2 linked regions of the Arabidopsis thaliana genome follow. The protein of the gene in region 1 interacts with the protein of each later gene in a pairwise test. Each region holds a gene or a part of one and is shown in the gene's direction. Other genes may lie near its edges. The genes, in order: AT1G09160 and AT5G61570.

Region 1 (3,930 bases):
TGTATGCATGTATGTGTGTGTGCAGGAGGACAAGCGAAAACGCTCATGTTTATTCACATTAGCCCTGAACTAGAAGATTTGGGAGAAACACTCAGCACCCTGAAATTTGCAGAGAGGGTGGCCACTGTTGACCTCGGTGCTGCTCGTGTCAATAAGGACACTTCTGAGGTTAAAGAACTCAAAGAACAGGTCCACCATATATACTTCTCTTCACATTATTATACTATTCATTCTCTCAAAATACATTGTCCAAATCATCAGTTACCTTTGTTATTTGCTTTCAGATTGCTAGTTTGAAACTTGCGCTAGCGAGAAAGGAGAGCGGGGCAGATCAAACACAGCTCCAAAGACCCCTTACTCCTGATAAACTCCTCAGAAAAAAGTCACTTGGCGTTTCGTCTTCATTTTCAAAATCAGCAAACAGTACAAGACAGGTCCAAACCAAACATAAGCCATCACAGATTGATGATGTCAACAGCATTGAGGTAAAGGGGACAAGAAAACTCATTCACCAAACAAAACAAATCAAACTTGTTAATACGTTTTGCAGTGATTACTTCATGATGTGTAGTGAAATTACTTGCAGGGTCAAAGTGACTCTGCATCTAGCCTTGACTTACAAGGACTAGTAGGTTCACCGTCATGGAAAACCCCGCCGAGAGATGGGAAAGAGGAGGACATGGAATTTATTATACCAGGAAGTGAATGGGTTGATAAACACGAGGACGAAATCACGCGTAGTAGCAAACCTGAAAACAGAGCACATACACAGCTTGAGAAGCGAACGTCTAGCTTGAAACGTGAAGCAACTCGAGGTGTAGATAAGAATAAGTGTAATAGTAGTGTAGATAAAGGATTAGAGGTAAGGAAGATTCCATACGAAGAAGAAGCAAATGAGTCAGATGAAACCGCAACAAGTGATTGCTCGGAGACTAACTTGATGTGGCAGTTGAATGTTCAAGTGAATATGCCTAGACCAGCTTCTAATGGTTCTTCAACTAAACTAAAGAAGAATCAATCAAAAATAAGTAGAGTTGCTGCTGAGACCAGGTGAGTTATTTACTATATAAATGATTGGATTTTCTTATAAAAATAGAATGTTTTAGCTAATGTAATAATGTTGATGATCAGGAGTATGATACCTTCGCTAATTCCGACGCCTACGAGGACATTATCGCTTGGGGCGGCTATTAGCTCGCCAGGACAAACGTCCTCAAGGCATAACAACAGTACAGTAGTTGTGAAGAAGAGACAAAATCCCAAGTAATGATGAAAACATTTTGTGAGCATTTTAAGAATACAATTATTATTGGCGGACCCATATTTCATATTATGAGGTCATATATATACAGACGCCGTATACGAAGAGTAGAATACGTATGAGAGTGATAGATTGTAGTTGTACTATACTATAGGTTGAATATGTTTTGTTTGATTTGTGTGGCGTTTACTAGAATGAATATTCCATTCTTTTTATGGCCGATGTTGTATTCTACTACAGTATTACTTCTCGAAGCTAATGTATTTTATTCATCACAAGAGTTATACATTTTCTGTTTTAAACTTTCCATAATCTCGATTTATATGTACTTTTTAACAATATGATTTGTCAATGTAGCAATTTTATAGTTTGATATTTTGTTAAGCTAGACTAGTTAGTTAATAAGAGCCAAATCAGTTTTTGATGGCAGTTTGACTAGATGGATGGTGATGTAAAACTGCTACAAGCAAATTAGCCAAATAGTCAAACACATATCGAAAACTGTGTCCATTATGATATTTTTTTTATAAAAAAAAACCAAACAGAAATATTACTATACGGATTTTTTTCACAATCAGATTTAGTTAAATCAAAATTTGACCAAGAAAAAAGAAGTTAATAAAAAAAAATTCTCCTACCCTAAAAATGTGTCCGTTATGAAAGTATTTAAGAAAATTTGTTATTTTTATTACAAAAATGCTTTAAACAAATATTGCACGAATCATTTGCAGAAAATACTAATTCTATAATCAAACTTAAGAATATACGATTTCTATAATTAAACTTAAAACTATACTAATACAATTCCTTACCTAAAGCGGGACTTTTGAGGGGCAATTAAGTAATTTCGAGAAGTTCATCATATTTCTTAATAAAATTAGCTGTCTCTAACCCCCGCGTCGCTGTTTCTTCCCAATCTGAGAAAACTCTCACTCTGCAACTTCGTTTCTCTTCTCCTTTCTTAAACCTCTCACGCGGTTTCAGACTTCCGTTCGCTTACCGAAGACGGCTCGGAAATTCTTTCCTGAAGAATCAGCGACGACCTTAGCATTATCTACAAGTCATCTTTTCTGCTAGATCTGTTGTGTATACTACTCGCGATTTCATTTTGGTGAGTTTATTGACTGCGAAGAAGCCTCAATTAGTGTTCTTTTACTGATTTTGCTATTGCTCGATTCTACTTTCGATACATTTTCCTGCATCTCAAAAGATAGCCAATTGTTGGAGATTCTAGAATTCTCTAGATTAGGGTTTTCCTCTGCATTTTCTCTATATTTTTTTATTTGTTTGGTTCCATTAACCAAAAAGAGTTTATCTTTGAGTAATTCCGTAGAAACCTCAAATTTTTGGATGAGAATCGAAATTTAGTAAAGTTGGTTACCATTTTGTTCTCATTTTTAGGGAGATAGATTGTTATAGGGTTCCTTAGTATTATTTATTAGAATTGAACCCTAAATGTTTGCAGCAACTAAATAATTTTGTTTTCTGTGATGAACAAAGAATTTGTTCCAGCCAATGCTGAAGGCTAGACTAAAATGAGCGTGTCAAAAGCATCGAGGACGCAACATTCGCTCGTTCCTCTTGCGACCCTGATTGGTAGGGAGCTGAGGAGCGAGAAAGTAGAGAAGCCTTTTGTCAAGTATGGTCAAGCAGCTCTCGCTAAGAAAGGAGAGGACTACTTTTTGATCAAAACTGACTGTGAAAGGGTACCTGGTGATCCATCATCGGCTTTTTCAGTTTTCGGGGTAATTGAGGCATTCTTCCCTTTAAGGATTCTCTGTTTTAGTGACGAATAGCTTACCCTTTTTCTGTTTTGTCTTCAGATATTTGACGGACACAATGGTAATTCAGCTGCCATATATACTAAGGAACATCTTCTGGAAAACGTGGTGAGTGCAATTCCTCAAGGCGCAAGCAGGGATGAGTGGCTTCAAGCTCTTCCTAGGGCTTTAGTTGCTGGCTTTGTGAAAACTGACATTGAATTTCAGCAGAAAGGTCTTAGCTTATGCTTATTTTTTAAAGGCTTTTTGCTTTCTATTCTTGTTTTTCAAGCATGCTCTAACCGATAAGATCTGTTGTGCTTACAGGGGAAACTTCAGGAACAACCGTGACTTTTGTTATAATTGATGGTTGGACTATTACTGTTGCTTCTGTTGGTGACTCGCGCTGCATATTGGACACCCAAGGTGGTGTGGTTTCTCTACTGACTGTTGATCACAGGCTAGAAGAGAATGTTGAAGAAAGAGAACGCATAACTGCTAGTGGAGGTGAGGTCGGAAGACTCAATGTATTTGGTGGCAATGAGGTATGATCATTTCCAGTGAATTTAAGTTACTGTTTCATTGTGTTTTGGCTGTGGTGGGTTTGTAATGTGTAAGAAGTCCTTGGATTTTCAATGATATTAATGTGCTTTGATTATGCCAATGCAATAGGTCGGCCCACTACGATGCTGGCCTGGTGGTTTATGTCTTTCGAGGTCCATTGGTGATACGGATGTGGGAGAATTTATTGTCCCTATACCACACGTTAAGCAAGTGAAAGTAAGCTCCCTTTCCCTTGGTACATTTTTCATTAATTCTTATATTTGACATTGATCAAAAAGTATTTTTATCTGTACGTTCAGCTTCCTGATGCTGGAGGGAGACTCATCATAGCTTCAGATGGTATAT
Region 2 (3,930 bases), on another chromosome or scaffold:
TGATCATCACCATAACGCTCCGACCCATTTCTACTGTCCAATAACAAAGGTAATGAATGATACGAAAATCTTACATTTTATGTCAGATTTTTGATACGTTATGTGTTTTGATTTGGTTTATGGGGTCATTGATGAAATTAGGATGTGATGGAGAATCCATGTGTTGCTTCGGATGGATATACGTATGAGAAGAGAGCGATTAAGGAATGGCTTCAGAAGAATCATAAATCTCCAATGACGGATTTGCCCTTTCCTAGTGATTCTCTTCTTCCTAATCATTCTCTTCTTTCTGCAATCAAGGAGTGGAGATCACAACTAATTAAATAAATTAATTAAAGGTTCTTAAATTTATACGGCTAAATTCGTCAATTAACATGAATCGTTGTGGTTTTTGTTTTGTCATACCATTCTTGCGCACAAACGTTGATGAAATATTCGAGCTTTTGTGTGTAAATTTTTTTTACCTTATTTGTTTGATTGTATTATAGGTTTTGACTGCATATTTGCAAGAAGAATATAATAGTGTTGATTTTTGTTGTGTCGTATTTTCTTATAAAAGTATACATATCAATACTAACGAAAAACATATATGAATCCAATCCAATATGAATATGAAAACTCTTCGTTTTTTAAAAATCTTTTAGTTGTGTATGATTTTATTATCAAACATGAGATAGTATCGTAAAAGTTGGCCTATCGTTTATACTACGAAGATACCCATATCATTTACTATTTTGTATTTTTGTTTGTTTCTCTAACATCTATCGGTTTCTTAGTGAAAAAAGTCTAAAATATTAAAATGGTATGTTTTGTCATGTTGGATTTTGTTGAATATATGCAATTGTTAACTAGGTTAGTAACTTAGTATACATGAGATGAGATCTGACACCTAGGCCATTAAATTGTGTGGGTTCTATATGATATAGCTATGAAAGACATAAATATGGTTATAGAATAATAAATGGGCTAGCCAAACGAATACTGAATTTACAAAAATAACATTTGAGCATTGTTCACACATTCTATCATGCACTTATCTACCTGGAATGATAGAGTTTTCTTTTTCCTTTATCCTTTTTTCATATAGTATTAGTTACAAACGAAGAAACTTTAACAAAGGTAAACAAATATACGTTAATAAGTTCGAACTATACGTCAATTATGAATTATGTCTAAACCAAACGATGTTCAAAACATAGAAGTAATAAGAATTACATTATAACAACAAACAGTATATGTAACTATGTAAGAGAATCATTGCAATAATTTATATTCTATATGTCGTTTAGTTTGCACACATGCACACATAGGGAAAAAGAACTTTATCCTAATATGAAGTGATTAAATATCAGAATGGAAATTATGCAATACAAATAGAAAAATAAAACAACAAAGTAAAAAATCTCTAAAAAAATTTAGTAAACAAAAGTTGCAATTGAGTTGTGGTTGTTGAAAGGGGAGTGACATGAAGGTCCCCCCACCACCTTATTTGATACGTATGGTGATTGGTGGGGCTATCAAAGGACCATTCGACGTCGGAGTATAATTTTGTCATTATAATCAAGATTTTCTCTAATTGAAACTCTACACTAACCTTTCTTTTGTTGTGGCTAATTTTTGTATACTTTGGACGTAATAGTTCTGTTATTGGCTCTTAAATGATGTGGAAACTATTAAGAAGGTTCCATTAAGTCTAAGTGTTAATTTCTCATTTCCTTAAACTAGAAAGAAGGTTCCATAAAAAGTTAAAAGGCAATGTCTAGTAAAGAGTAGTTAGGTAGTTTTCACAAGAAAAATACATCCTTTATAAGATTGATTAGCATTCCTAACATTTTTTTTTGGGAGGTGATTTCGTACCAAAAACAGAAACAAAATTTTAATACGTTTTCACAGTACAATGCCAAAATCTAATTCTAATATGACAAAGTTAAAATAGTCGTTCCAATAAATTGACCTATACAATTTGGTTTATACCAGTAGGTCATAAACTTATACAATTGGTTGAGAACTTGGCAGGGGAATAAAAACACACAAGTTTTCAATAATAGCGAACAAAAACAACTCATAAGTCCACATTGATACAACTAATTAAAACATGTTTCAGATCTCTCTATATCATTTACTTCATCTCCATCACATACCATCTACACATCTCTCTGTATCTCTACTGTAAACAAATAAAGTTTCAATTATTCATACACTTTTTCTTATTCCATTTTGTATTCTCACACCTAAAGATTCCAACTTTAAATCTCTTGCTTAATACTCAAAATCCAATTTCCTTGTCTACAAAAGAAAAACCAAAAAATCCAACACTATTCCATGAGATGAGAAAATCCCATTTGGTAAAACTGATACTTGCAGTATCTCTACCAACAACATTCTTGATCATGATCGCCATCATCATAATCTTCATCTTCTGTAGAAGAACAACAACAGAGACCAATGAAGTTCAATACGACGTCGAATCTCCTTACGAGAAACAAGAATTTTCCGATAACGGATCCGAAACAGAGGAGGAGCTTATCATCTTCAACGGTGGAGAAGATCTAACGATCTGCGATATACTCGATGCTCCAGGAGAAGTCATCGGAAAATCAAGCTACGGTACATTATACAAAGCGACGTTACAAAGAAGTGGGAAAGTTAGAGTTCTTAGGTTCCTTCGACCTTTATGTGCTGTGAATTCAGATTCTAAGGAGTTTAATGGCGTCATTGAGTCACTTGGGTTTGTTCGACATGATAATCTCGTTCCTCTGTTAGGGTTTTACGTTGGCAACAGAGGAGAGAAGCTTATGATTCATCCCTTCTTCGGTAGTTCCGGGAATCTTTCTGCGTTCATCAAATGTAAGTCTCTGTTTTCTACTCTGTTTTTTTTCTCTCGAGAAAATGCGAGGAAGCTGAAAAAGATTAAAAGGAACAAACTTTTTTAATTTTCGGACCAAAAGAGATGTCTTGAGTTCTCTTTTTAGCTGTCTTGATTCGTGGAATCTCCTAGATTCTTGTTTTCTGGGAAACAAACAGAGTCTTGAGTTCTCGTTTTCCCGGGTAAATGGTAAAAAGTTTTTAACGCACTTATCGTTACCTATATAAGATGTCTCTGTTTTTGAAATATCTATATCGAAGATTTCTTCGTCAGATGGAATCATATTGGTAACTGTAGTCGATCCATAAGAAATCGTCTTATCTTTTACATTTTCATAAATCGTAACATGGAATTGTTTTTTTTTATCTCTGACAAACAAAAAAGTAAGTTTGTTTATTTTGTTCTAGGATCACCATTATTGATCTAACTTTTGTCGGTAACTACTTTTTTTTGTCACTTCCCACTTAGTTTGCTCATTATATAAGACAAAATCTTTATAGATCTCGTTCCTTTAAAATCTGTAGAGCATCAACATCAGCATTAATTTTTCTAATCAATATTCAATAGGTTGTCTTAAAAACAGAGCATAGTTTTGGCAGGTGGAGATGTTGACGCACACAAATGGAGCAACATTTTGAGTATCACCATTGGAATAGCAAAAGCTCTTGATCATCTCCATACAGGAATGCAGAAACCGATTGTTCACGGAAATCTGAAGTCGAAAAATGTTCTACTAGACAAGAGTTTTAGGCCTAGAGTCTCTGATTTCGGCTTGCATTTGCTTTTGAACCTTGCAGCTGGGCAAGAGGTTCTAGAAGCTTCAGCTGCAGAGGGTTACAAAGCGCCTGAGTTGATCAAGATGAAGGAAGTAAGCAAGGAGAGTGATGTATATAGTTTCGGTGTGATCATGCTTGAGTTAGTCTCTGGTAAAGAGCCGACAAACAAGAATCCAACGGGATCTGTACTTGATCGTAATAGGTTGTCGGATTTGTACCGTCCTGAGATTATTAGGAGATGTCTGAAGGATGGAAATGGTGTGACCGAAGAGTGTGTCCTCGAGTACT

The links.
Region 2: the proteins of AT1G09160 (region 1) and AT5G61570 interact in a protein complementation assay, tested with the Arabidopsis thaliana proteins (one large-scale study listed by BioGRID).

The regions. Positions count from the first base shown.
Region 1 is NC_003070.9:2,953,926-2,957,855, reverse strand, and holds the start of AT1G09160 (Protein phosphatase 2C family protein), read left to right. Parts: upstream 1-2,110; 5' UTR 2,111-2,372; intron 2,373-2,761; 5' UTR 2,762-2,796; coding exon 2,797-3,006; intron 3,007-3,084; coding exon 3,085-3,256; intron 3,257-3,348; coding exon 3,349-3,566; intron 3,567-3,693; coding exon 3,694-3,801; intron 3,802-3,884; coding exon 3,885-3,930. Other genes in the region: AT1G09170 (P-loop nucleoside triphosphate hydrolases superfamily protein with CH (Calponin Homology) domain-containing protein), read left to right, coding at 26-189, 285-485, 587-1,050, 1,132-1,267.
Region 2 is NC_003076.8:24,756,180-24,760,109, forward strand, and holds the start of AT5G61570 (Protein kinase superfamily protein), read left to right. Parts: upstream 1-2,009; 5' UTR 2,010-2,327; coding exon 2,328-2,847; intron 2,848-3,456; coding exon 3,457-3,930. Other genes in the region: AT5G61560 (U-box domain-containing protein kinase family protein), read left to right, coding at 1-49, 142-327.